Linked DNA regions of Caenorhabditis elegans. The protein of the gene in region 1 interacts with the protein of each later gene in a pairwise test. Each region holds a gene or a part of one and is shown in the gene's direction. Other genes may lie near its edges. The genes, in order: fbxc-32 and sup-36.

Evidence for each region.
Region 2: the proteins of fbxc-32 (region 1) and sup-36 interact in a two-hybrid assay, tested with the Caenorhabditis elegans proteins (one large-scale study listed by BioGRID).

What each region holds. Positions count from the first base shown.
Region 1 is NC_003280.10:941,424-953,764, reverse strand, and holds fbxc-32 (F-box domain-containing protein), read left to right. Parts: upstream 1-5,573; 5' UTR 5,574-5,583; coding exon 5,584-5,654; intron 5,655-5,952; coding exon 5,953-6,981; intron 6,982-7,072; coding exon 7,073-7,205; 3' UTR 7,206-7,280; downstream 7,281-12,341. Other genes in the region: clec-43 (CUB domain-containing protein), read right to left, coding at 7,637-8,382, 8,428-8,701, 8,752-8,844, 8,897-9,003, 9,057-9,179, 9,230-9,365, 9,417-9,506, 9,550-9,699; fbxc-36 (FBA_2 domain-containing protein), read right to left, coding at 10,657-10,777, 11,458-12,186.
Region 2 is NC_003282.8:6,596,599-6,608,195, forward strand, and holds sup-36 (SUPpressor), read left to right. Parts: upstream 1-5,075; 5' UTR 5,076-5,107; coding exon 5,108-5,221; intron 5,222-5,281; coding exon 5,282-5,677; 3' UTR 5,678-5,845; downstream 5,846-11,597. Other genes in the region: F38A5.6 (BAR domain-containing protein), read right to left, coding at 1-22, 77-146, 190-384, 541-692, 739-748; nspb-4 (Nematode Specific Peptide family, group B), read left to right, coding at 1,636-1,830, 1,880-1,933; nspb-5 (Nematode Specific Peptide family, group B), read left to right, coding at 2,600-2,791, 2,841-2,894; F38A5.8 (uncharacterized protein), read left to right, coding at 3,284-3,484, 3,702-3,893; F15B10.3 (BTB domain-containing protein), read left to right, coding at 6,082-6,138, 6,682-6,804, 6,865-7,260; nstp-2 (UDP-xylose and UDP-N-acetylglucosamine transporter), read right to left, coding at 7,575-7,681, 8,095-8,225, 8,273-8,415, 8,465-8,761, 9,042-9,144, 9,191-9,304, 9,506-9,585; drh-1 (RNA helicase), read right to left, coding at 10,959-11,099, 11,152-11,210, 11,274-11,361, 11,413-11,597.

The sequences.
Region 1 (12,341 bases):
ATCAATATGACTTTCTAGCACCCAGCAAGACAGCCACCACCAACTGAGCACACCTGAGATAGCTCATCTATCGGGTTTTCCCACGAAGACAGAGGAAAAGTGAGCCCGTCTGCTCTGCAGCAGCCAACTCGCCAAAGAGCTCAGATATTTACATTCGGGCCCTAGTTTTGTTATGTGATATAAGCTGTGAGCTCGACAAGTTCGGCATGCTCCGACGGTTGCCAATTGCTTCATGTGGTGTCAGGCTGTCCCATAGCAGCTTGATCTACAAAAAATGCGGGAATTTTCTCCCAGAAAAATGTGACGTCAGCACGCTCTTAACCATGCAAAATTGGTTGAGATGTCTGTGACTCAACTCCCGCATTTTTCGAAGATCAAACCGACATGGGACATTCTGACATCACGTGTTGCTTGCCGCTCCCCCCGACCCCCATGTTATGCAAATTATAGACCCCTCTCCGCCTTCTTTTCTAATAATAACTCTGCCAAGCGGAGGGGGGCTAGGACTCCCCTCCTCCTGGACACATGTGGTTCATGTGATTCTTATAAGGGCAGGTAAGATGAGAGGGCTGGAAACGCAGACAGAGAAGACGTGCATGTACTATTGATTTCGGCTAGGAGGGTACGGCATTTCGCAATGCAACTCGGCAAAACGGCCTAACTTCATAGCATACTCTTGCAACTTCTTATCAACAATTAGGCATTTTAGCTTTTAAGCAAACTTTTGCAGCTTTTCAGACGACTTTTGCAATTTCTTAGCAGATGTATAGCTAAATTTCGCTCACAATCCCGGTGGTTTTAGCAACTTCTTAACAGCTTTTTACAAAGTTATATAAATGTTTTTATTAAGTTGCAGGACTTTGCTATGAAGTTGCGACGTTTTGCCGAAAATGTTTTTTTTGCAAATAATTTAGCTTACAGCTTAAACCATGGCAGCAGCACCCGAGCAAATATCCTATGACAGTACACGGCATGTTATTCAGTATATGAAGCCGGATTTGAGGTAGTGCTTTTTTTGGATATTTCATGTTTTTGAACCAGTGCAATAGATAGTTGTTAAACAGCGGCCGATATTTTCGGGGGTTCCGCCGGCTTCACGCCACTACCCATCAATGACCTCTGCCTTGCGGAACCCCGAAAGTGTCGGCCGCTGCCAAACAACTACCTATCGCACTGGGTATTTCACTACGGGGTTGGGGCTAGCTAATTGATTCAACTCTGATAAAAGGGCTTCAGCCCCCGGAGACTTACGTTTGCAAGCCTAATCCTACTAAATGTTTCACTTTCAGATTCCGCCTGTCGCTTACTGTCCATCCCTCCGCGCTGCCGAAAAATCAGTTCCCCTTCACATCAAGCACCTCAGAATTACACCTCATACAATTCAAATCAACAAAACAAGACTTCAACTAGCTATTGGTCAAAAGGGACCAGACAATGAGCCAACTTCATATGATATTGATCAGCATGGCGAGAAGGATCTCGGAAAAATAAGACCAGCTTCTGACGATGAGATCTTAATTGATGGAAGACGTCACGAACTTACCGAGGAGGAGAAAGCAGCCAATAGGCCATTCGAAGTGGCAGCTATTCGTGAGAATTTTCGTCTCTTTGCGTTCATGGCCGATATGGTTGAAACAGACGTTGAACCAACTGAAGTACGATTTCCCAACCATTTGGGACAACTCGTTCGGAATTCGAATCAAGAGTTGGAAAGTGTGATTCCAAGTGCAAACTGGCACGTTACGTTCACTCAAGCTCGCCTAGGCATTTTTGAGCCACTAAGCAAAGGCAAAGGCATGGGCAGAAAGCTACAGGAAAAGCTCATTGAGAGGGTAGCATATACTAAGAAGTTGCATGAAATAATGAAGTATCTAGCGGAAAAGCTATTTGGCGGGAAACACCTTAGAATTCAAAAACTGGAAATTGGCTCAAATCCCGGAGTGCTCCGCTTGCCAAACAATATGACGATTTTCACTCGGAATCTAGAACTCTTTGATGAAGACCACGAGTATCTACTAAAAAGTATTCGTCCACTAATGAACCTGAAAAGCTTGCCATTGGCATCGCTGGAACTCCACGGTCCACTTCCACTTGAAAGTGACGTCATAGAAACTTCCAAGAAGCTTCTTCTCAGTGAGATTCTTGATGTGAATTTTGACGTTGAATTCCAAGAAATAAAGAAATTCAAGAATCAAGAAGTAGTGCTGAAATTTGATGAGGCAAGAGCTCACTTTTATGAGTCTTTTGAAGTACCTGCTGGAAGTTGGGAAGCCCCTGGGCAGTTGCTACAGATTTTTTGTTTATCGTGAGGCTGGCGCTAGAGGGCTTGTGAAGAAGATCAAGGACTTGTACTGGGATGATGCAGAGGTTTTTTATGGGTAAGTGGGAACCTTGTTAGGCACTCTTAGACTTACCAATGACAATTGTAGGTATTCATTTAATTTTTTGAACTCTCTGAAACTCCAAGATAACCTATACGATGTTTCTACTAATTTTGTGCAATTTTCGTAAACATTTTACTGTTAGGATTCTAGACCACTTAAGATTACCTCAGGCACTCAGGCACCTGTATAGATATTTTTTGTCTGAATTCAGCTACTCGTAAGCTATATTTTAGTCTAATTCCCGATAGGTGCTCTCAAAAAATTACTCCCGTTTTTTCAGAGCAACCGAGTTTCCGATCACCTTTAATATCCCGATGAAGTACTCCTCATCGAAAAATGAAGTCAGTATTCACTGCGAACTGGATCCGAATCTCCGATTTCATTGGGTATTTTCCATGACAGTTCAGAAGCCGGAAATTATTGACTATTGATTTTTTGTCTCATTTAGTATGTAAATTTTATGTAAAGCTAGTATTTATTTTTTTTCTTATTTATTTCCCAAACTACCTCGAATTTTTTGAAAATAAACTTTGCTAGTTTGCTTCGACAGATAATTCAAAGCTCTACCGCTGAACTCAGTATATTGGAAGTGGTGTCAGGTTGTCCCATAACGGTTTGATCTACAAAAAATGCGGGATTTTTTCCCAAAAAATGAGACGTCAGCACGTTTTTAACCAAGCGAAATCAGTTGAGAAGTATGCGTCTAAATTCCCGCATTTTTCGTAGATCACAACTAAATGGGACATTCTGACACCTTATTTATAGAAATTTCGCAATAGCAAAAGGGCTAAGGGGAGCACATTCCCACATGCCTGGCGTAGCTCACGTGCTTCAAGAGGGGACGTCTACATGGGTGGAAACGGAGACAACTCTGCACTATTGATTTTGGAGCAAGTGCACTTTTGTTGCAAGCTTTGGCCCTTATTCTAGCATGTCACCATCCATGTCTTCTGCCAGTTGGAAGTACGTTATAGAGCATTTGGAGCGTAATGTGAGGTGAGTTAGAGCAGCCGACAATTCACTGGTTTAACTTTCGAGATGACCCTTGAAGTGTCAGCCGCTGAAAAACAAAACAAATATTTCCAGATGCCGTCTCTCAGCCTGTTGCCCAAGCCTCTGCCACACTGAAAAATCCATTCCTCTCCACATCAAGCACCTGGTCATAAACCCTGACATAAACCCTGACAACCGTCCACCACCATGCAGGGAAACGTGCTCAAAATTACCTGCAAGATTGGGTTCCGATTGTGATCCCAGAGACCGAATATCACATAAGGCTCACGCGAAATAAGCCCTTCCTCCAGGAGAGGGTAGCCTATACCAAAAAGCTACATGAAGCAATGAAGTACCTAGTTGAAAGGTTGTTTGGAGGGAATCAGCTTAAAGTTCAAAAGTTGGATGTTTCGCAGTGCGTTCAGTGGTATTTTGTATAAGTTAAACTAACAGTACACTTGGTGACTCTACAAGGATTTATTATAGACAACTAGTAACACTAATAGACAAGTAACGCAAGAACATAAAGTAAGAACTGATTCGGGAAGTCCCTCCAAGGTTGGCAATATGGTCCACGTGTCCAAGGTTGAGTTGTTCGTATTGGCGTGGCAAGTTCATGGCGTGAATGTTGTTGTTGTTAGATTATCTTGTTCCTTGTATGCATCCATCCGGGGTTCACGTCGCAAATGGTTCACGTGGTTGTTCTTTGTTAGCACTGACTGTTGGTTGTTCCTTGAGCGATGGTGATAGAAATGCTCGGTGTTGTTAGCGTCCATTGTAGAGTACATAATTATACAATAATTATAGAATAATTATTAAGTCGTGAATAATGGAGATCCTGCTCCATGCTATTCGCGACATTGGAAGTTTGTTCCGAGTCTGGAGTGCTCTGCTTGCCAAGGAGCCTAACAATTTGCAGCCGGAACTTGGAATTATTGGATCAGAAGGCGGAATCGTTTTGGAGCAAGTTCCGAGTACTCCTTGATCCCAAAAGCATTCCATTCAAATCCCTGGAGCTCAATGGCTCGATTTCTATAGACGATAACGTCATTCAATCTTCTGAGCTCCTTATTCACAATGGAAGACTTGATGAGAATATTGACCTAGAATTCGAAAAACTATTGAAGCTCGCGAATCAACAAGTCGAGCTGACCACGGTTTATGGATCTCCCAATATGGTTGAACTTTAAAGTTCGAAACCTGTCTCTAGCAAGTTGCTATGACAGCTTTGATCTATATATTGAAGTAGTCCGAAATATCCTCAACCCTTCAAGTTTGGACGACTCAGAGTTTCAGCACCCGGATATTCATTCCGCTCGGCGGTTGATTGTCATACAGAGGCCATATTCAAATTGTCTAAATATAGCTAAAACTATCAGCTCTTTTCCAAATGTTCATATTTATAATGGAGATAGGTTTGATATAAGGTATTGGATTAGGCTTGTGGGAATATTGTTGGCACATACGCCGCCTGTTGGGTCACGTCATTCGCTGCAATTTGACACGAAGAGTGAGGTGAAGGAGATGATTAAGGAGTTGAAGAAGGATCCTAAAGCGAGAAGAGTAAGGTAAGTTATTTGATTTTCGAACATTATATATGTTGGACAAGGCTCATCCTAAACATGTTCCTAAGTCAGGCCTAGGTCTGATCAAATCCTGCCCGAAGTTTAACTAAGATCAGACTACAGTTCAGCTGATGAGGCCTGACTAACTTTCAGAACAATAAAAACTGTGTAAAAAATGTCAGTACAACATGCTAAATGCTGAAAATTTTAATTTCCAGCCACAAGAAATCCTACGTCATCTTCCCTATCGACTCGAGTGCAGAAGTCTACGTCTTCTATTAGAGGAATAAGGAAACTATTGGAACATGGAATTTGGTTATTACTGTTCGCAAGCCTGATGTGAAAAATTAATAAATTCTCAATTTCCTCATAATAAATCGTTTGCCAATTGAAATATTTTTGAAATTTTTTGATCTACCAATTTTTGATAGGTTTTTTTTGATCTTCTAAAGATGACGTGGCAAAACGCTCGAGTATTCCAATCAATAAATTGTGCCACAGCGTTTAGCATTGCCCCACCAACAGTCATTCTCTTATTAGTTTTCGCTCTGTACTTTTTTATTTTTTCTATACTACTTTCGTTTTTTGTCTGTTTCCATTTTAAGATATTATTTTTAAATCCAATTTCCAGCTAGAAAATAATGGCGTACTCATTGCCGCTCACCTATCCAAGTCTCAAATGTGTCATCAAGCATATGGAGGTTAATTCGAGGTATGTTTTATTTTCCTTTAGTTAAATTGATATATTTTAATACAAAATACCCAAGTTTTACTCTCAATTGAACAGAAAATAGAAGTTTTTGGGTCATAAATTACCATTCATATTTTTCAACTTTGAGGGCTGATATATCTGTTCTCGTTGGTTTTATCAAAAAAATTTTGACTGACAAAATGTTTCTCATCTATTTCTCTTTAGTTTTGTAGTTGAAAATTTTTTGATATCGTCAAAAGTAACCGAGTTATGAGGTGTCAAAGTGGGCTTGCACTCCACTCAATGTTTTTTTTTTCAGAATCCAACTTTCCCAAAGATGCCCATCAATCCGAAAAGCTGAAAAATCAATCCCATTGAAAATCGGTCACTTGGAACTGGATCAGTGTCGTGTGAAGATCAACAACACAGACTATTCTCTAGCAGTGGTCTGCAATTACTTCTCAAGCCCGTACGATCTCGATGAAGTTGGATCTATGGATCTTGGTGAGGTGATAGATGAGCAACGAGATGTTGTAGTGGATAACCGAAGTCTGGAAGAAGGAGAGAAGCGGATACTCAGAATGGAATACGAGCTAAGAATGCTGACAGATGACTGGGAAAAGAAAAACGCTCTGATCGGGGAGGCACTTAAGAAGGAACTTAAAATGACGACGGAAAAATCGGAGCTAGTGAACCGTAAATGTTACGTCGGAATTATCAAGAGTCTATTTCTGTCTCGCAGAGTGGGTGTTCCTGCGCCAATTTGGGATATTGATTTTGTGAACAAAAATAAACTGATCACCTTCCGCGATGAAAAGCTCTCCTACAACATGAAGCTTCACCAGGCTTTCAAATACCTGATTTTCAAGTTGTTCAGTGGAAGACGGGATGCTATCCAAGTGAAAAAGCTTTCAATCGAGAATAAAGGGATCCTTAGAGTTCCAGCAAGCCTCAACTTGAAGGTGACCCATTTGGAAATCCTGGGCTCCGGTGTGGATAAAATCGCAATTTCCTTTCAACCACTGCTAGAAGGATCCAGCCTGCAATCCATCAAACTGAACAATGACTTCAACATCGAAAATCCTATACTCCAAACCTCCCCACTCCTGATCTTCAAGAACCCAAATGAAAACCTGTTCCGAGCCAGATCAGCATTCACCAATGTTCGAGTAGAGCTGGAAAAGTCGACCATCTTCCCACGAGAAGCTTTGGACCTTATTGCGAATTGGTTGAGACATGGGAAGGAAGTCGGGACGATTTGGAATTTTTCACTGACCGAGGTTACAGCGCTAGTGTGTTTCAAGGATATCCGGAAGCTGCCTGGCGCAAAGTATGCAGGACATAAAACGTAAGTTGGGTTACTGTAGAAGGGTACTGTACTGCATTTATTAAAATGCAAGTACAGAAGATATGTATGTCAAAAAATAATTTTGTTTCAGAAGCTCTCAACTCGGACGTAGTGTTCTCATCCCTATCAACGCATTTTCGGAAATTCACATCTTTGACGAGAAGGAAGAAGCACAAGACGGAAACGACTGGAGTTTGAAGATCACAGTTCGGAGGAAATTGTGAATTTCGTCGTATTGTAAAATTATTGTAAATTGTCGTAAATTTTTTATAGTTTTGATATTAAACGTTTTATTTTTTTGCAGTGGAATGTATCTTGTGAATATGGTTACTGTAGCGTAGAGCTCCCAGCTGAGTGAAGTGCAAAAAATATATTTGGAGCGGCCGACACGTTCGGGGTTCAGCAGCTTGGCGTAAAATGAGTAGATTGGTGTGTGCGCAACGTACTGCGAAAATGTAGTTATTTGGAGAGGCTGCCACATTCGGGGCTCCACGCCGCATTATACATTCGGATACATGCGGCGACCTCGAGGGAGCCCTACTGTAGGGTTACTGTAGCGGTTCTACTACTTTGTTGTTCTGGAATGTTTTGCCTAAAACTTCTATTATATACATAGATAAGGTAAAACTTGAATGATCATTCATTTTCGTAACGGTTAAGAAATATTAGTTCCATAATTAGCTGCCCATGAATAAGTTGCGTAGTTACTTGTGATGCAGTGGAACACCACTTTTAACACATTTGTAGTAGAGTTATAGATCTTATTGCTATAAATGTCAACTATGGCAAATGGCTGAGTTTCATCGATTCCAGAGAAGAGCTGCATATTCTGACCCCAGAAAAGGTGAAGAACTTCGAATTGCAATTGAGCGATCGAGCCTTGAGATTCAGTTATTATGTAGGTGCATGGAGTTGGGTAGCCGGAGGCTTGATCGGGGTAGCCGGGAGAGTAGAACGATCCATTTCCAGTCAAGAACTGAGTTCCATTACACTGTCCTAAAGCAGTTGGTGTCGGCGTGGGCAGATTCTGTGGATGCTTGCAGATGAATGGAATTTTATTATTACAGTTGGTGCTCAACCATTGCCCCTTTGGAATCACACTCCCACTCATTGCCAGGCTTGAACATTTTCCTAGGTTTGGGTTGAAATATCCAAAGTTGGAATAATCAAACGTGCTCCCGTCGACCCAATACTTCCCGACTCCATCAGTTGCTGCTCCGATCCTATACTCTGCTACTCCTGTGGAATTTACCAAGGACTGAAGGAAGAGGTTTTCAGCCTGAGAGTGAATTGACACCAAGTCTCCTGAAACTCTTTGGCAGACTTGTCGGGCATCAGGCTCATCTAGTAGATTTGTGTTGACTGAGTAGCAGAAGCCATTGTACGTATGCTCACAGGAATCTGAAATTCTCAGGGTAATAGCAGCTGACATATTGCGGGTCTTACCTGCCCTGGGCACCTCACAAAAAAAGCTGTAGTAGGAATAATCTCCATCTGAGGATATCCACTTCCCGGCGGAATTTCCGGATGTCAACATGTAAGCACGAGTTCCTACATCGGTATTTGGATTGCCAGGTGCAAAGTTGTTATAGTTGCTAGTTGTTCCAGAGCCATCAGTCCAGGAGCATGAGGAAGCTGACGGATATTGACAGGATAAGCCAAGCCAAATGGGCCGAGTCAGGTTGTTAAGGCCGGAAATGAGCTTGAGAGTGAAATCGTCCTAAAATAGACAAAATCTAAAAAAAAAACTCAGGCCCACAAAAAGCTCACTTGTGCTTCTAGAACTGAAACCATGTTGCTTCCTTTACTAAAATTTCCGCACACATAACTTGCATCTTGGTAGAGCATCGGCGTATTGAATAACTGAAACTTGTTTGAAATTCAAGAAATCTTCAAAACTCTCTAGGAAACTCACCTTGAGACAAGTGTTGTCCTTGTAGCTCCAAAACCCCTCAGGACAAGGTACTGAACCATTTGGCGTAGGTGTAGGTGCTCTGGTGGGGGTGCCAGAGGTGCTAGTCACTGTAACTCATACCTATACCTCTCTAGGTTTTCTCTAGGTTCCTAGGTCTTACCGTGAAATGGAACTTCACAAATATACTTCAACTGTGTGTATTGATCTGCAGATACCCATCTTCCAGCTGAACTTCCTGATACCAGCATGTACACGTAATTTCCGACATCCAAATTTGGGTTTCCTGGAATAAAAATTCAGAAGTTCTTTGCTTTCAGCTCTTTCAGCTCTTACCAGCGACAAAATTGCTATAGCTGGAGGTGTCGGAACTATAATCCGTCCAGTTGCAGGGGCTGCTAGTCTCAGTGCAGATCAGGCCGATCCATTTGGGATCCGATGAGGTTACCGAAAAGGCTAGTGCTTTGTTGTCCTGAAAATTATTTAAATTATATTGAGATGCCGAAAAAACAGCCCAACTTACAATAGAATTATGAATTGAGACTAAATTTCCACCGGGAAAACTTTGACAATCGGAGAGTGCATCCATAAAAAGCTTCTTAGTGGTGCTCACCTAAAATTTCAGTTACAATACATAAAAAAGTAGGGCTACTAACCTGGATACATGTGTACCCATTAAGTACAATAAACCCATCAGGGCAACCAGAATAGCTGGGAGTTTGAGTGTTGTAAGGAGCTCTTGAGGTAATTTGGGAGACAGAAAATGTAGCATATATATGCAGTAGACATATTATGAAAATTTTCATTTTGCGATTCCTTTTTGAACCGGCAAATTACTTTTAAGCACATTTTTGAAGAGGTGATAAGCCTCTTAACCACCCTCAATAGGTTGCTGATAAGGATGACATCTATGAACTTGTGTGATGCTGGAAATCAAACTGAAACCCAGTTTTTGATAACGATTCTTTTAAAGAAATGTGAAGTTTGATGCTGGCGGAAGCAACTAATATGAAGAATTGACCCTATGTTGCAAGATTTAGTCATTAGTCTGGTTTTGGGCTTACAGCTTGGTGCTCCTATAGTACTTCTACAATACTCCTACAGTATCCCTAAAACACGTCGAAAAGTGAGCTGGTTCACTTGTATCATGTTATCTGTTATTTTCAGATACTCGAAGTGCGTTGGTGTCGATTTTCTAAGAGCTTGGTTGGAAGGGGAAACGGCGGAGAGTTGGAATCTGGAATTTAGAATAAATTTGAGTGAGAAAAAGAAACCCAGAAACCTATAACTTACCTCAACATAGGATCGAAATGCTTCACAATGCATTTGACGAATTAGGGTCTAAAGCTTATTTTTTCCGGAGGCAAGAATTTTGAGAATTTTGCTGAAACTTACCAAATTCTCCATAAAATAAATTAAAAAGAGTTGTGGGAGTAACTAGGTAAATGATAAAAGTTACAACAGCAACTAGTAGGAATACAGGGCGGCTAGACATGAGGTGTGTAGAAATGAAGTCCTTGCAAAGGTGCGCGAGATCCGATAAAAAGGGCGAATAGGTAGAAAAAGTGTTTAGCTTGAGACCCGATCTTTGTGAGATACGGATAATTTCCCGTTTTGAATAGGAAATGGCATTTGAAAGTGCAAAGTTTGTAGAATTGTCGTAAACTTTCTGATTTATAGGGGATTTCAAAAGCAAGCTTTGTCTTCAAGATTTAAGGAAATTTATTCAACAATAAAAGCAAGGAACGAAAAAAAAACAACCATTAAAACTGTGTCGGTTGAACTTTGAAATAAACTTTGGATCTTTCCATTATGTCATCGTAGAACACGTAGATTTCCGAGAAGTCGTTCATTTTGATCGCAATGCTCAATGGGAAGTGAGATCTGGAAAATTAGCTTTAAGCTACAAGCTATAAACTACAAACTACAAACTACAAACTACAAACTACAAACTACAAACTATAAACTACAAACTATAAACTATAAACTACAAACTACAAATTACATACTACTAATTACTAACTAAATCCTATAAAACTAAAACCTACAAAGTAACCACTGTAAAGATGCACATGGTGCATCGATGGCTTCAAATGCACTGCTAACTACAAACTACAAAATACAAACTACACACTACACATTACAAACTACAAATTACTAATTACACAATACTAACTTCCAACTAAAACCTATAAAACTAAATCCTAACAGAATGACTTGGATGCACATAGTGCATCAATGGCCTCAAATACATTGCTAACTACAAACTAAAAACTACAAATTACAAACTACAAACTACAAACTACAAACTACAAATTAAAAACTACAAACTACAAACTACACACTGCAAACTACACACTACTAACTACTAACTAAAGTCTATAAAACTAACTATAAAATCTTCAACCAACTGTAAAAATTCATTCTGACTGCACATGGTGCATCGGTAGCCTCAAATAAACTGCTAACTACAAACTATAAACTGTAAAAACTCCAGCTAACTGAGACACGAACTACAGATTTTTGTAGTTTGTAGTTTGTAGCTTTCCAAATCAAAAGCTCACCTCCGAACCACCTGGAATCTTTCATCGAACTCTTCTTTAATATCACAGACCATTTTCTTAGCATAATCTCTTCCACGGAATCCTCCGATCGTGAACTCCGTCCCAATTTCCCTTCCATTCTCCAGCCATTCATAAATGAACAGCTTAAAATCCCCAGAAAGGGAAATCGCATGAACTCGGGCGTTTGTGATACGGTGGAAGTGATCACTAGTTGGAACGATCAGAAGTTCGGCGGTAAGGATAATCGGGTGGGCAAAAGCCCAAGTATTGGAAAGACTTAGAGATTTTAGGGGGTAACTTGAGGTATGTAGAATTGTATCCAGGGTGACGCCGGTTTCGATGATGGAAACGTCTAGATTCTTGCAGATCATGTTGAGGTTCTTCGAAAAGATGTAGTGAACTCTGTCAACTGAAATTTGAAGGGTCTCCACTGTAATCGGAACACACCGATCTCCCAGAAGCTTGTCGATTATATATTCCATCGCAAAGTTCATACGTCCATCGTTAGCTGTTGTATTCGTTTCTCTTTCATCAAATACTATCCCGCTAATACCGGATCTTAAGATTTCCACAGTGAAGGGAGAATTTGGAGTTTTCGCGGAAAAAATTGGTCGAAATCCCACGTCGTCGACCTGGAAGCAGTCGAAATCCCAACTAATGAATTTTATATACAGGGGAAGTGAGAGCTCTGTGGTGTGGTAAGATGGGCTCCGCGATGAGAGGCAGAATCTGGAAAATATTACAATTTTTATTGATTTAAGAAATTTTTGTTCAAAAACGCTAAGTATTGGAACAGTTGAGCTCTAGTTCAAAATTTTGTTAAAAATTCAATTTTGCAAAATGAGGGAAGTTTTGTTTTGCATGTTTTTGAATTGGCGTGAGAC
Region 2 (11,597 bases), on another chromosome or scaffold:
TTTTTAATCAGATGAGAACGAGCTGAAAATGTGTATTATTTTAGATGTTTGTGTTTGAATTATTTGAAATGCTCACTTCTTTTCTGCACCTGGATCTCCTTTTGAGCAATTCTTCCACAGGCGCTACTGTATTTTTCCAGCATTTTCTGAAGAATTATTATTTGAAATGTTTCAAATATTACGACTTACAGAATGTTGCCCATCAAACTGATTTTTTCCCAAATAATTCAACCATCCTCCAAGAACTTCCCATGGATTCTCGCCGGGAGCACACAAAACTGCTTTCTTTGCCATTGCCTTGGGCATGAATTGAACTTGAAGTTCGATTACATTCACAATTTTGTAGATTAAGTTGTGGTAGGAGGTGAGCTTATCGATGTTCCTCTGAAAATGGATTATAATGATTCAAAAGTGTTTTAGAACGGTCGTTCGCGAGGCACGACCTCCTTTGATTGGCTACTACTGAATATACAGACTACTAAACATACACTGTTGTCGCCAACAGAGACATTTAGTAATGAGTTCAATTCAATTCAGTACCTCAAAACGTGGCTCTAACTTAGTCAGCTCGACAACTCCAACTTTTTGTCCGATGTTCACATAAAGTCGGTTGACAAATCCAGCCTTTGCTGCTTTTTCAGCAATAAGTTCCTTTTCCTTCTTTTGCTCTTCATTTTGAATGCAATTTGTTTCTGAAGATATCATTCAGGTCTTATGCATACGTATTTAAAAACTCACTTTTCTCCATTTTGCACTATGATCGATTACGATTCAAAGGTGAAATGAATCAATTTGGAAATAATTTTTGAATCAAAATAACGTGGCATTAGATAGATTTATTTAATTAGCAAAAAGAAACACGTTATGAACTTTTAAATATTTATTATATGTTTATATTTTTAAATACAAGTTTTATTTATATGTGCCAATACCAAACGTTTTTAGAACTTTTTCATTAAAAAAAACTGCTAAGCCTGCCGTCCGTTCTAGGATCGTTGCGTAAAACAGGACCAGAGAAATCAAAGTGGTATCTTCCATTTTGCAGGTGCCTGCCTCATGCCTGCCTACGTGCTTACCAACATATCTGCCTAACTGTATGCCTATGTGTTCAAAACCTACTTCGATTCAACTTAAATCCAAAAGTTCACAAATGCTCATCACAAAAAGCAACTCACTTTTCCTTTCGGAACACTGTTTCTCATTTTGGAATTGATCATGTCATTGTTCAAAGATCGCTGATAAGAAAATGAGAATTGAAAAAAATCGACTTGTTCACTACAGCATTTTGATGAATTACCCAAATTGAAAGCAAGAGTAGTCGATCTTTTAAGATTCAGAAAAGGGAATTTTCCTACCTAAATAACCTTAAAACTTTTGTTCAAACAATATTTTTAATTAGATTGAAACTTTTCCTGGATTTCAAATTACATATATTAAATTATTTTTGGGAATATTTGCTACTGGATGGTCGATTCTCTGGTTCTTCACGGCCTAGTCTCATAGCATCTTTAATCCAAAAAGTGTCAAGAGTAAGTTTGTTAAGCAAAGAGTCTATGCAAACATGCATCAATCGTATATAAACGGTAACTTTTCAATTTCCAAATCACTTCCGAGTCTCACCTGAAAAATCTAAGAATGTTCCAAAAAACCACAATTGTCATGATTTTTGCCCTTTTCTGTATTTCATCGTGTCAAGTTTTATATACTCCTGAAGTTGTATCATCTCCATATTATTATGCTTCATCTCCAGTTGCTTCTGCTTATCCATATGCTTATGCTTATGGAGCTGCTGCTTATCCAACCGCATATTATGGATGGGGATCTAATAAGGTAATAAGATATCAGTTAGCATTCAATATCTAAATATCTATAAATTCAGGGACAACAAGCTCCATCTTCTGCTCCAACACAGAAATTGACAAATAATCAGTAAAGAGATATTTCATTTTGGAATATGTGTACTATATGAACCACCGAATAAACTGTTTCCATTTTAGTTGTGTTAATGTTATTTATTTTTAATGTGTCTTTACCGTATGGTTTGATTATCAAGAAGGTTTTTCTATAGAGTTCAAAAAGCAGCATGCAAAAAATGAATCTGGAGTTTGAAACACATTTCATTTGGACCATGTCCGAGGATTTTTGAGGTTTAGGTGAATTTCATAGCTGTTCTCAAAGATTGAACTCACATTCGTTTTTTTTAATGCTAATTATGTATAACAGAGTAAATCTTTAAGAAATGAAGTAATTCAGGAATATTTAATAACGGTAATTTTAATACGGTTTCATAGTTAATATAATTGTGTTCCAATTCCCCATCTCCAATAATTCGTCTATACCAAACAGTTAGTCAGAGAGTTCAAGGTGTGCCTGAAATGACAGTCCATACCTTTTTAAGCAAACATCATTCGAAGTATTTTATCGTATGTGTGATTCACATAAAACTCGTCGTCTATATAAAGCGGTAACGTCGTCTATATAAAGCGGTAACGTCGTCTATATAAAGCGGTAACGTCGTCTATATAAAGCGGTAACGTTATATAAGCGGTAACTTTTCAATTTTCCAATCACTTCCGAGTCTCACCTGAAAAATCTAAAAATGTTCCAAAAATCCACAATTGTCATGATTTTTGCCCTTTTCTGTATTTCATCGTGTCAAGTTTTATATACTCCTGTTGTATCATCTCCATATTATTATGCTTCATCTCCAGTTGCTTCTGCTTATCCATATGCTTATGCTTATGGAGCTGCTGCTTATCCAACTGCATATTATGGATGGGGATCTAATAAGGTAATAAGATATCAGTTAGCATTCAATATTTAAATATCTATAAATTCAGGGACAACAAGCACCATCTTCTGCTCCAACTCAGAAATTGACAAATAATCAATGATCTCTCATTTGAAATATATGCACAATAAGAACTATTTGAAATGTCAAAATAAATTATCTGACTTTATTTGTGAAGCCCTAAAATTATTCCACAGCAATAAACACTTAAAAACAAAAAATCTTAACACAAAATTTTTAATTAAAAAATGTGGTTAAAAATACTACAAAATATTTTTTCAACGTAACAACCTTAAATGTTCTAAAAGCCGAAATGTTGTTTTTTGAACATATATAATAAAAAATCAATATTCCTATCTTTGTATGATATTTATCAATTAAAATTCATATATAACGAAAATTTTAAAGGTAAGTTCCGGGCTTCTCAAGCAGAATTTTAGAACTTAACCACATAATTATTTCAGAATTTGTAAAAGTGTCTATCAAAAAAGAATGGCAGACGATGGATACGAAGTAATTGGTCCCGTCTATTCGGTGCCTCCTCTTGCATCACCGATGCCCACGATGGTTCCTCCATCGCCACTCGCAGTCACTCCAAAGGTTAAAAAGGATGAAGATTCTGGATCAAGTGCGGCGGAGACGACCAGAGCCGGAAAACATCGAAAAAGGACAAACGCCTCAGAGTATGAAGTGGTTGGTTTTTTAATGATTTTGGCTTTTTTTAGCGATCTAGCTTTTCTTGTTGAGAAAATACTGAAAAGAATAGTATGACATGAGTATTGGTTAACAGAAAAGTCCCAGAAGTTTCTGTAATTTTGTTAAATTCTTCAAAACAAGAATCTTCAAAAAAGCCTTTTTTTTTAATTGAAAGTAACTCCTCTTTGCTTACATCAATATTATATAAATTCAGAGCAATATGGAGAGCACCCACCATGATGTAGTTTCGATCAAGCACAGACCAAACTCGTGTGACGTTTGCCACGTGGCGACTCTTTTGTTCCTGATTGTTATGGTGATCGCCATATCGACTCCAGTTCTCCTTTCTGCAAGTAAGGGCGGACTTCCATGGATTGAGAATAAGTTGATGGAAGAGTCTAATTAAGAGTACTGCCGAGTTTGAATAAAGATTTTATGGGGAATTTTTTTGTACTCACATCTTTCAAAAGTTTCCTGAAAAATTACTAAGCTTACAGTAACCTTACAGTAACGCTCTTTACGCAAATGTAAAACTTTTACATGTATTTACATAAACAAAAGTTTTACATATTTAAAATGACCATGCTTTTTTCAAAAATCTCAACGCTTTAAAGCGCTATGAACCCCTGAAGCGCCAAAATCTCTGCGTCTATTTAATTTGAATTCCGCGCGCAAATGAGCGACCATCGTGTACTCTCGGACAATCAAATAATTTGTTGATTTTCCACAAGTTTATGTGTTCTTCGAATTTTCTCATTATTTTTCAGTTTTTTAATTGTATTAATAAATTTATGAATGCATTTTGAATGGATTGATGCTCAATGAGACAAAACTCTTGTTTTATTGAATTATTTGGTTGTATTCCCGCATTTTTTCTATTCCACTGAAAAATAAGTTTTTTTTTCATTTCGATCTTTGGGATCTTTCAAATATGACTATTTTCTCTTATTTCTACGAATAACTTCATCTATTGAAAGTACTCTAGTTTCCCAATTCAAGAAAAAACATTTTTACATGAATGTGAATTCCCTCTCGAGACTTATCCGAATAATTAAAAGAACTTTTTACTACTCCTTCCAGAATATTAAAAATCTACCGTTGTCTATCTTCCAAAGTGTTCATTGCTCCATTCGCAATAACATTTTTATCGCACAATAATAACCGTTTTCTCAGCCACTGTTTTTCCAATCCACTTGTTACACTACACTCGAAATATCGGGAAAGTTCAAATTCCACTGTTCCAAGTTCCAAATGTATTGGTTGCAGTATCGATCGGAAAACAATAAACTCCACTCATCCTGCGTAGCACACCTCCTTCTATTTCGAAATCAATGTTTCCTCGTCATATGTTGTATCTCTCACACCCTCCGTCTTCTTCTCTATACTTGTAAAAGAGCGCGTCGCGCAATACTCATAGAGTTTCATTCTTTTGCATTTATTCAGTCATTCATCATATTCTTCTTTTCTCTTGCTTATCTTTGGAATTCCTCTGACATTCATTCTACCATTTACTAGAATTATAACATTGATTTTGTAAATACTCTTCCTCATTCTCTTGCAATAAAAAACAATTTCCTAACCGAAATCATTTCAGAACTTGCACTACATCTTCCGTTAACAATGCCATCTTGCGAGATCAAATTCGACTTCAACGACTCTGACGAGTCAGTCACTGTTCGTGAAACTCGCATTATCCTGCTTCTTCCAGTCATCCGTCGCGCTGTTGAGCTCCAGGTAAGATATCAGATTTTTTTTTTTGAGAAATATAGATTTAAAAATAAACGTTTTTTTCAGTATCCGGATTTCGCGACCGAGGAGAATGCGGTGATTGAAGCTCCATTCAGGGTTCCATTCAAGAAGGATGCTGGAGTATTCCTCTTCGATACCATCGCTCGCTACGCTGCACCAACCGATGACAATGTCCATGAGATCACTGTTGAACAAAGTTACCCAGAAGCTGGACCGAAGACCTTGGATGAGCTCAAAGAAATCATTGAACTCGCCAACTTCTGGGAGTGTACCACTTACATGGAGTGCATCGGATTTGCGATTGCAAAGAAGTTGGAGGACAAGACCATCGAAGAGATCGCCGCTTTCATGGGAGTCGAATGCAATCCACCAGGAAACTTCTTCGCAGAGGAAGACGGATGGATTCATCCACCAGCAGACGCTTTCCAGAATGTCCAATAGATCCGATCCCCTCGTAATTTGCTCTGATCTCCCACTGCCAATTTCCATGATTTTGTGTTAAATATATTCAAGCTCAATACTTTCACTTTTTACCTCCTTGTAATATATTAAATACTTATCAGAACTTTTTCAAATTGATTTTAAGGAATGAATAAAATGATTTTCTCGAAATGTGCTCACAAATCTTAAAAAGAACTCGAAATCAGAATTGCCAAAAAAATCAACAGAGAGGAAAGTAATTGAGGACGATTCATGCAAAATTACAGTATCAACTCGATTAGTTCAACCGTGAATTGAATAAAAAAAATCGACGTCAAATCCACGGAAACAAGGTTGCCACGATTTTCAGAGGTACTCGCCCTATTCCAGTTATTCCGGATTTTGATGAATTACCGTAGCTCACGATGTTTACTATTCCTTTCAAATTGAAAGTTTCAATGTCATCATACTTCCGTGAAAAAGTGAGACATTCAGTTTTAAAGGCACATGATTTTTTTCTGAGTTATTATCGCGACGATTTCGGCTAGTGCTCACGCTTTTACAAATGTATGATAGCTCTCCTAGTTGAATTTTGTTTTAATCTGAAAACGTTTAAATGGGAATATTCAGCCCAGATGTTCTGCTTTTAATACTACATGTGCAAATTTGGAACACTGCCAAGTGATCGATATTATTGTGTATCTGACATTGTTCAATATATATCTACTTCCAATTTACAAAGGGTCATAGATTGCCCTTTCTTCCTACAATAGCAATCTTGGCAGTGATGTTTACCTCTAACGTCTTGCCAATGTATTCTAGGTCACATCTTTCGACTTTCTTCCCACTGTTCCACATTGATTGTGACAATGAGCACAGTTTAAAGCGTCGTAGCAGCTGGTATATCTTTTCTTTCTATTCATTCATAAGACTTTTGTAATATTTAGTTTAACCAATTGTTTCTTTCTCCGCGCGGAGTTTTCCATTCTCATAAATCTTTCATTTTCAAAAATTCGTTTTTTCAGCCAATAATAATGCCATCCTGCGAGATCAATCTCATCTTCAATGACTCTGAGGAGCCAGTCACCCTACGTGATACGGGGATCATTATGCTAGTTCCAGTGATTCTTCGGTCGGTTCAGTCTGAGGTACGTTAGCCCTGAATTCAAAATTAGTATTTTCGAAACTAAATCTCGAATTCTTTGCAGTTCCCCGACTTTGAGAATCAAGATAACGTCAAGGTTACTTCTCCACTTTCAATTCCGTTCAATAAGAAGGCAGGTGTCTTCCTCTTCGAATATATTCAAAAATATGTTCCACCAAATGATGATACAATCCACGAATTGACAGTCGTCGAGAACTACAAAGAAGCTGGACAGAAGACTTTGGATGAGCTCAAAGAAATCATTGAGCTAGCCAACTTCTTCGAGTGTACTGATTTCATGGAATGTTTGGGATTTGTGATCGGAAAGAAGTTGGAAGACAAATCAGTTGAGGAGATCGCTGCGTACATGGGTGTGGAATGTAATGCACCGGGACACTTTTTCGATGAAGCCGATGGATGGGTTCATCCACCAGCAGATGCATTCCAGAATGTCCAATAGATCCGATTCTCCCCCAGTTTGCTCCGATCTCGTTCTGCTAATTTTCATGATTTTTTGTTAAATACAACCTCAATACTTTCAATTCTCGTTTCACTGCAATAAAACTTGTTGACTATATATTTACTTCCACTGTTTGAATTTTAAAGTTTCTGAAATAGTTTATAAAAACTTGGAAAAAATATCACAATACTTGAATCAGGATGCAATAGAAATGAGCACTATAAAAGCTAGCGGCAATCGGGGAAAAATGACAGATCAGTGAAACTTTGGGATTTGGAAAGCGTCGAGAAACATGGTACATTGAACGTGATTATCTACTGTTTCTTCTTCTCATCTTGCTTGTTGGCAGTTTGACTTCCCCAAATATCAGCAAATGCAAGAGTTCCAGCAAAGACAAGAATGGCTCCAAGCCAATGTTGAGCTGAAAAAGAGAGGAATTTTGATTTCTAAAGACGATTTTTTAGTATTTCTTTTTTTTTCCTTTCAGATTAGATTATGGAGCCCTAGTTTACGACCAAAAGAATCACATAACGTTTTTTAAAACATTTGATTTTGGTACAAAGATATGGTACCCGGTCTCTGAACGACCAAAACTTCCCAGCTACCGTACCCGCAAGTGTTCTAATTTTCTACGACTTTTCTGTTTTTTTTCTTCAATATTTTGATTGATCTCCATCAGGAAAAATGTTCTAATTTTTGCATTATAAATTATGAAAAATTGAGCGAAACTCTAAAAATATGCTTTAGGTATGGTAACCGCGAAGTTTCGATTGTGTCGAGACCAGGAACCTTTCTAATCACTTTTACAATTAAAAAAGTCAATAATAATCTTACGTGTAAATGGATTCTTGAAATAGACAATGGAAACGATAAGTGAGAGGAATTTCCGAAGAGTAACAACCAGCGTGACGGTGAGCGAATCAACACGAGAGTTCAGTTGATAGACGTACTTGATGCATCCGTATCTGAAAGAAATATTATATTTATTTGCTAATATCTAAAATTCACTTACTGAAGAAGACAACTTGCAATCAAATCAACCCAGAGAGATGGAAGCCATGGGAATACAGAATGTGGAGCACTGGCAGAAAGTTTCGTAGCCGCTGACACAATGTCGCTTCCCATGATGAGGAAGAATGGAAGTGAGATCAAATGCTAGAAATAAGTTCAGTCAAAATTATTGAATTTGAATGAGGTTACTTACAGTAATGAACATAGCTTCATCTGGATGTTTCCCATACTTCTCGTACATTTGTTGTTGATAGATTGCTAAAACAGCTGAAGCCAATAGAGCAAAAGTGAGCATAATAATTCCAATCGTCCATTCCTTATAATGTTTCGATGCTTCTTCCATCGAAAGTCCCGAATCTCCTTGTGTTGACGTGGCAAGTGTGCAAATGACAATTCCGATGGTAATAGCGAATACGGAAATGTATTTCCGAGCAGAATAACTTTTACCAACCATAACAACTGAGAGAATCAATGTGGCAAGAAGAGAACCCTGAAAAAGTAGGTTTAGCCGGTTTTGAATGAATTTTACATAATTTAAATTGCTTATAAAACCTCTAAAACTAATCATCCGCCAAGGGTGTATTTTTTGGAAAATCGAACATTTTAATTTTTTAAAAAGATTTTTCAAAAAATACCTGTAATTTTTGGTTTCGAATTACATATTTTCATATGTCATAAATTCATCGAAAATTTGGAAATAGTTTGTTAATTTTTTGGGTTTTTTTCAGAAAAAACTGAAAAAATTCCCCTGCGAAATTCCTGGCGCTCACCGATCTGAAGATGATATGAAGTGGAACAGGCACATGGAAATTGAGAGCTTGATTATTGACAACATTGACAATGAAGAACATGGTAACCGTCTTGAAATAACCTCTGAAAAAATTAACGATTTTTACTAAAATAAGAGCAATAAACTCACTTTAATGGAATTTGATTTTTAACTGTGAAGAATTTGGAAGTTGAGACGAGTCCTACTGTAGAGATGAAGAGAAATGTAGAAAATGTCATCAGGTTCATGGCAGATGGCTCTTGTCTGTAAATTTATTTTTTTAACGCTTCTATGTTTGATTTTTAAGTTTTTAAATTAAATTTTTAATTTTGTTAAATTTATTATTTGACCTCAAAATACTTTCATCAGATTCTTGCTACACATTTTTTGTACCCGAAAACCGGTTTTTTTTAATCGTGTTTTTGAAAGATGCTATTTTGTAGGGTATTCTGTAGGTTTTCTCACTTTGCGATGTTCTCCACAAAAACCATACATCCCATACAACTACCAAGTACACCGAAAATCGGTGCAACTGCCGATGCCATTCTTACTGGAAAAAATTGGTGATATATTGAAAAAAGGAAATATAAGAAAATGCAGTAGGAAAAAGAAGACAAGAAAGAGAATGAAAAAGATTATTGCCAACCAATTTTGTCGTAGGAATTCCATAGAAACCTTTGAACGAACACATTACATTAAAAAAGTGATTTTCCTTGAAAATGGCCCAGAAAATTGGAAAAAGTTAAAATTGAGTAATTTTGCCAAAAAAAATACAGTACATGGTCTCGCCACGACAAGTTTTTGTTAAAGGCATGCGCCTTGAGAGACTACTGTAATTTCCAAACCCTCGTCACCAGTGCGAAATATGCTTGTCTTTTTTGGTTTTTTGGCAAAAATGTTTTTTTGTCTAAAAAAACTACAAAAATTCAGACATATAAGAAGCGAAAATAAGTCTTTTTTAGGGTTAGAGAATTTAAATTCATGTTTTTTGCCCAATTATCCAAGCAAAGAGACAAAAACTCGCAACATTACAAAAAAAAATCTCGAAAAACACACAACTGGTCTGATGAATTAATGAAAGAAAAAATGATCAGCACAAACTACAATCGAAACTGTGTTGTTTGTGTGTTTGAATACATTCCCAGTGTGTGCGTGTGTGTCCGCTGAGATTGTGAACGAAAATGATTGGAACTGAGCGATTGGCAAGTGGAGTGGGAGAGTAAAAATGTGAATAAACGCAGAGTGTTAGACAATTCAAAAGTGAGGTTTTGGTCATCTTGATGTTGGAATTGCGGTTGGATTGAGGATATTACAATAAGCAGCTGTAGATTTTTTTTTGAACAATCATCGAGAAAATTTTACAATATCGCAAAAAATCGCTGAGTAGATACAGGATTTTTTAGAAAATATGAAGTTTTAGTGAATTTATAAGAGTTGTTTTCAAATTGAGATTAGAAATCTACCATATTAAAAAAATAACTTTCAGGACAACACGAAATGCCAAACTTCAAAATGGTAGACTAAAATAAAATACTCTGATCGAAATGGCTGAAATGACGAAAAAACTTTAGTTGATGTGATTTGATAAGAAGTCTTATCGTCACACTACAACCTACATGTTACATACCACAAATGTGGGTAGAATAAGTCATACGGAAACCTGAAAGATTGAGAAGAAAGATGCATATGAATTAAATTGGAATAAACCGCAATGCTGAAAAAGAAACAATGCCGAATAAAAAAGCTGTGAAATTTATTTTTTTAAAAACACGGAAATGAGTAATAAACAATGGTACACTTGTGGAATGCATTACTTAATCTCTGGGAATTTGATATGAAACCGGAGAGACTAAAATAAAGCATGAAAATAAGAAACTCGTAGAAATTGTCAAATACTGAATTAAATAAGAATGTCTTCTTATGCTTCTCTGATTAAATTGACTACTTCTCCATTCGCGTGATGCTCAAATACCATTGGTGTTCGAGCTTGATCCGCATCTCTCATTGTTTGAACATCCAATTGTCGTATTTCGGTCGGTGTGAAATATTTGTCAAGAATCTGAAAGAATTTTTTTTTCGAAAAACGAGAAAAGTCTGCACACAAAACTTACATTTTTCCATTTCTTGACGATGATCCGTTTATCGGTACCTTCGACTAGCAACACGATAGCTGAAAATTAAATAATTAATAGAATTAAGAATTAAATAAAATAAGCATGTAAAGAAAACCCACAAAGAGCTGATAGACATGGAAGATCCACTGTATTCACTTCAATCAACTGACCAAGCTTTAAACCACAATTTTCGCGGCGACAATTAATCTGAACGAGTTTACATTCAAAAACTGTGTCACTAATCTTTTAGGTTCTCACCGATCCAGTTGCATTATATTTAATTAATGCTTGTTGCTCATCCGTCAGGCGAGTTTTTCGAACGAGGCTCCAGAATCCCGGATCACAGACAAGGTATTGAGTATTTCTTGATCGAATATCCTTGCTTGTACACAAAATCGCTTCACATTTTTTACAGATGATCTTGTATACAATATTTCGATTAA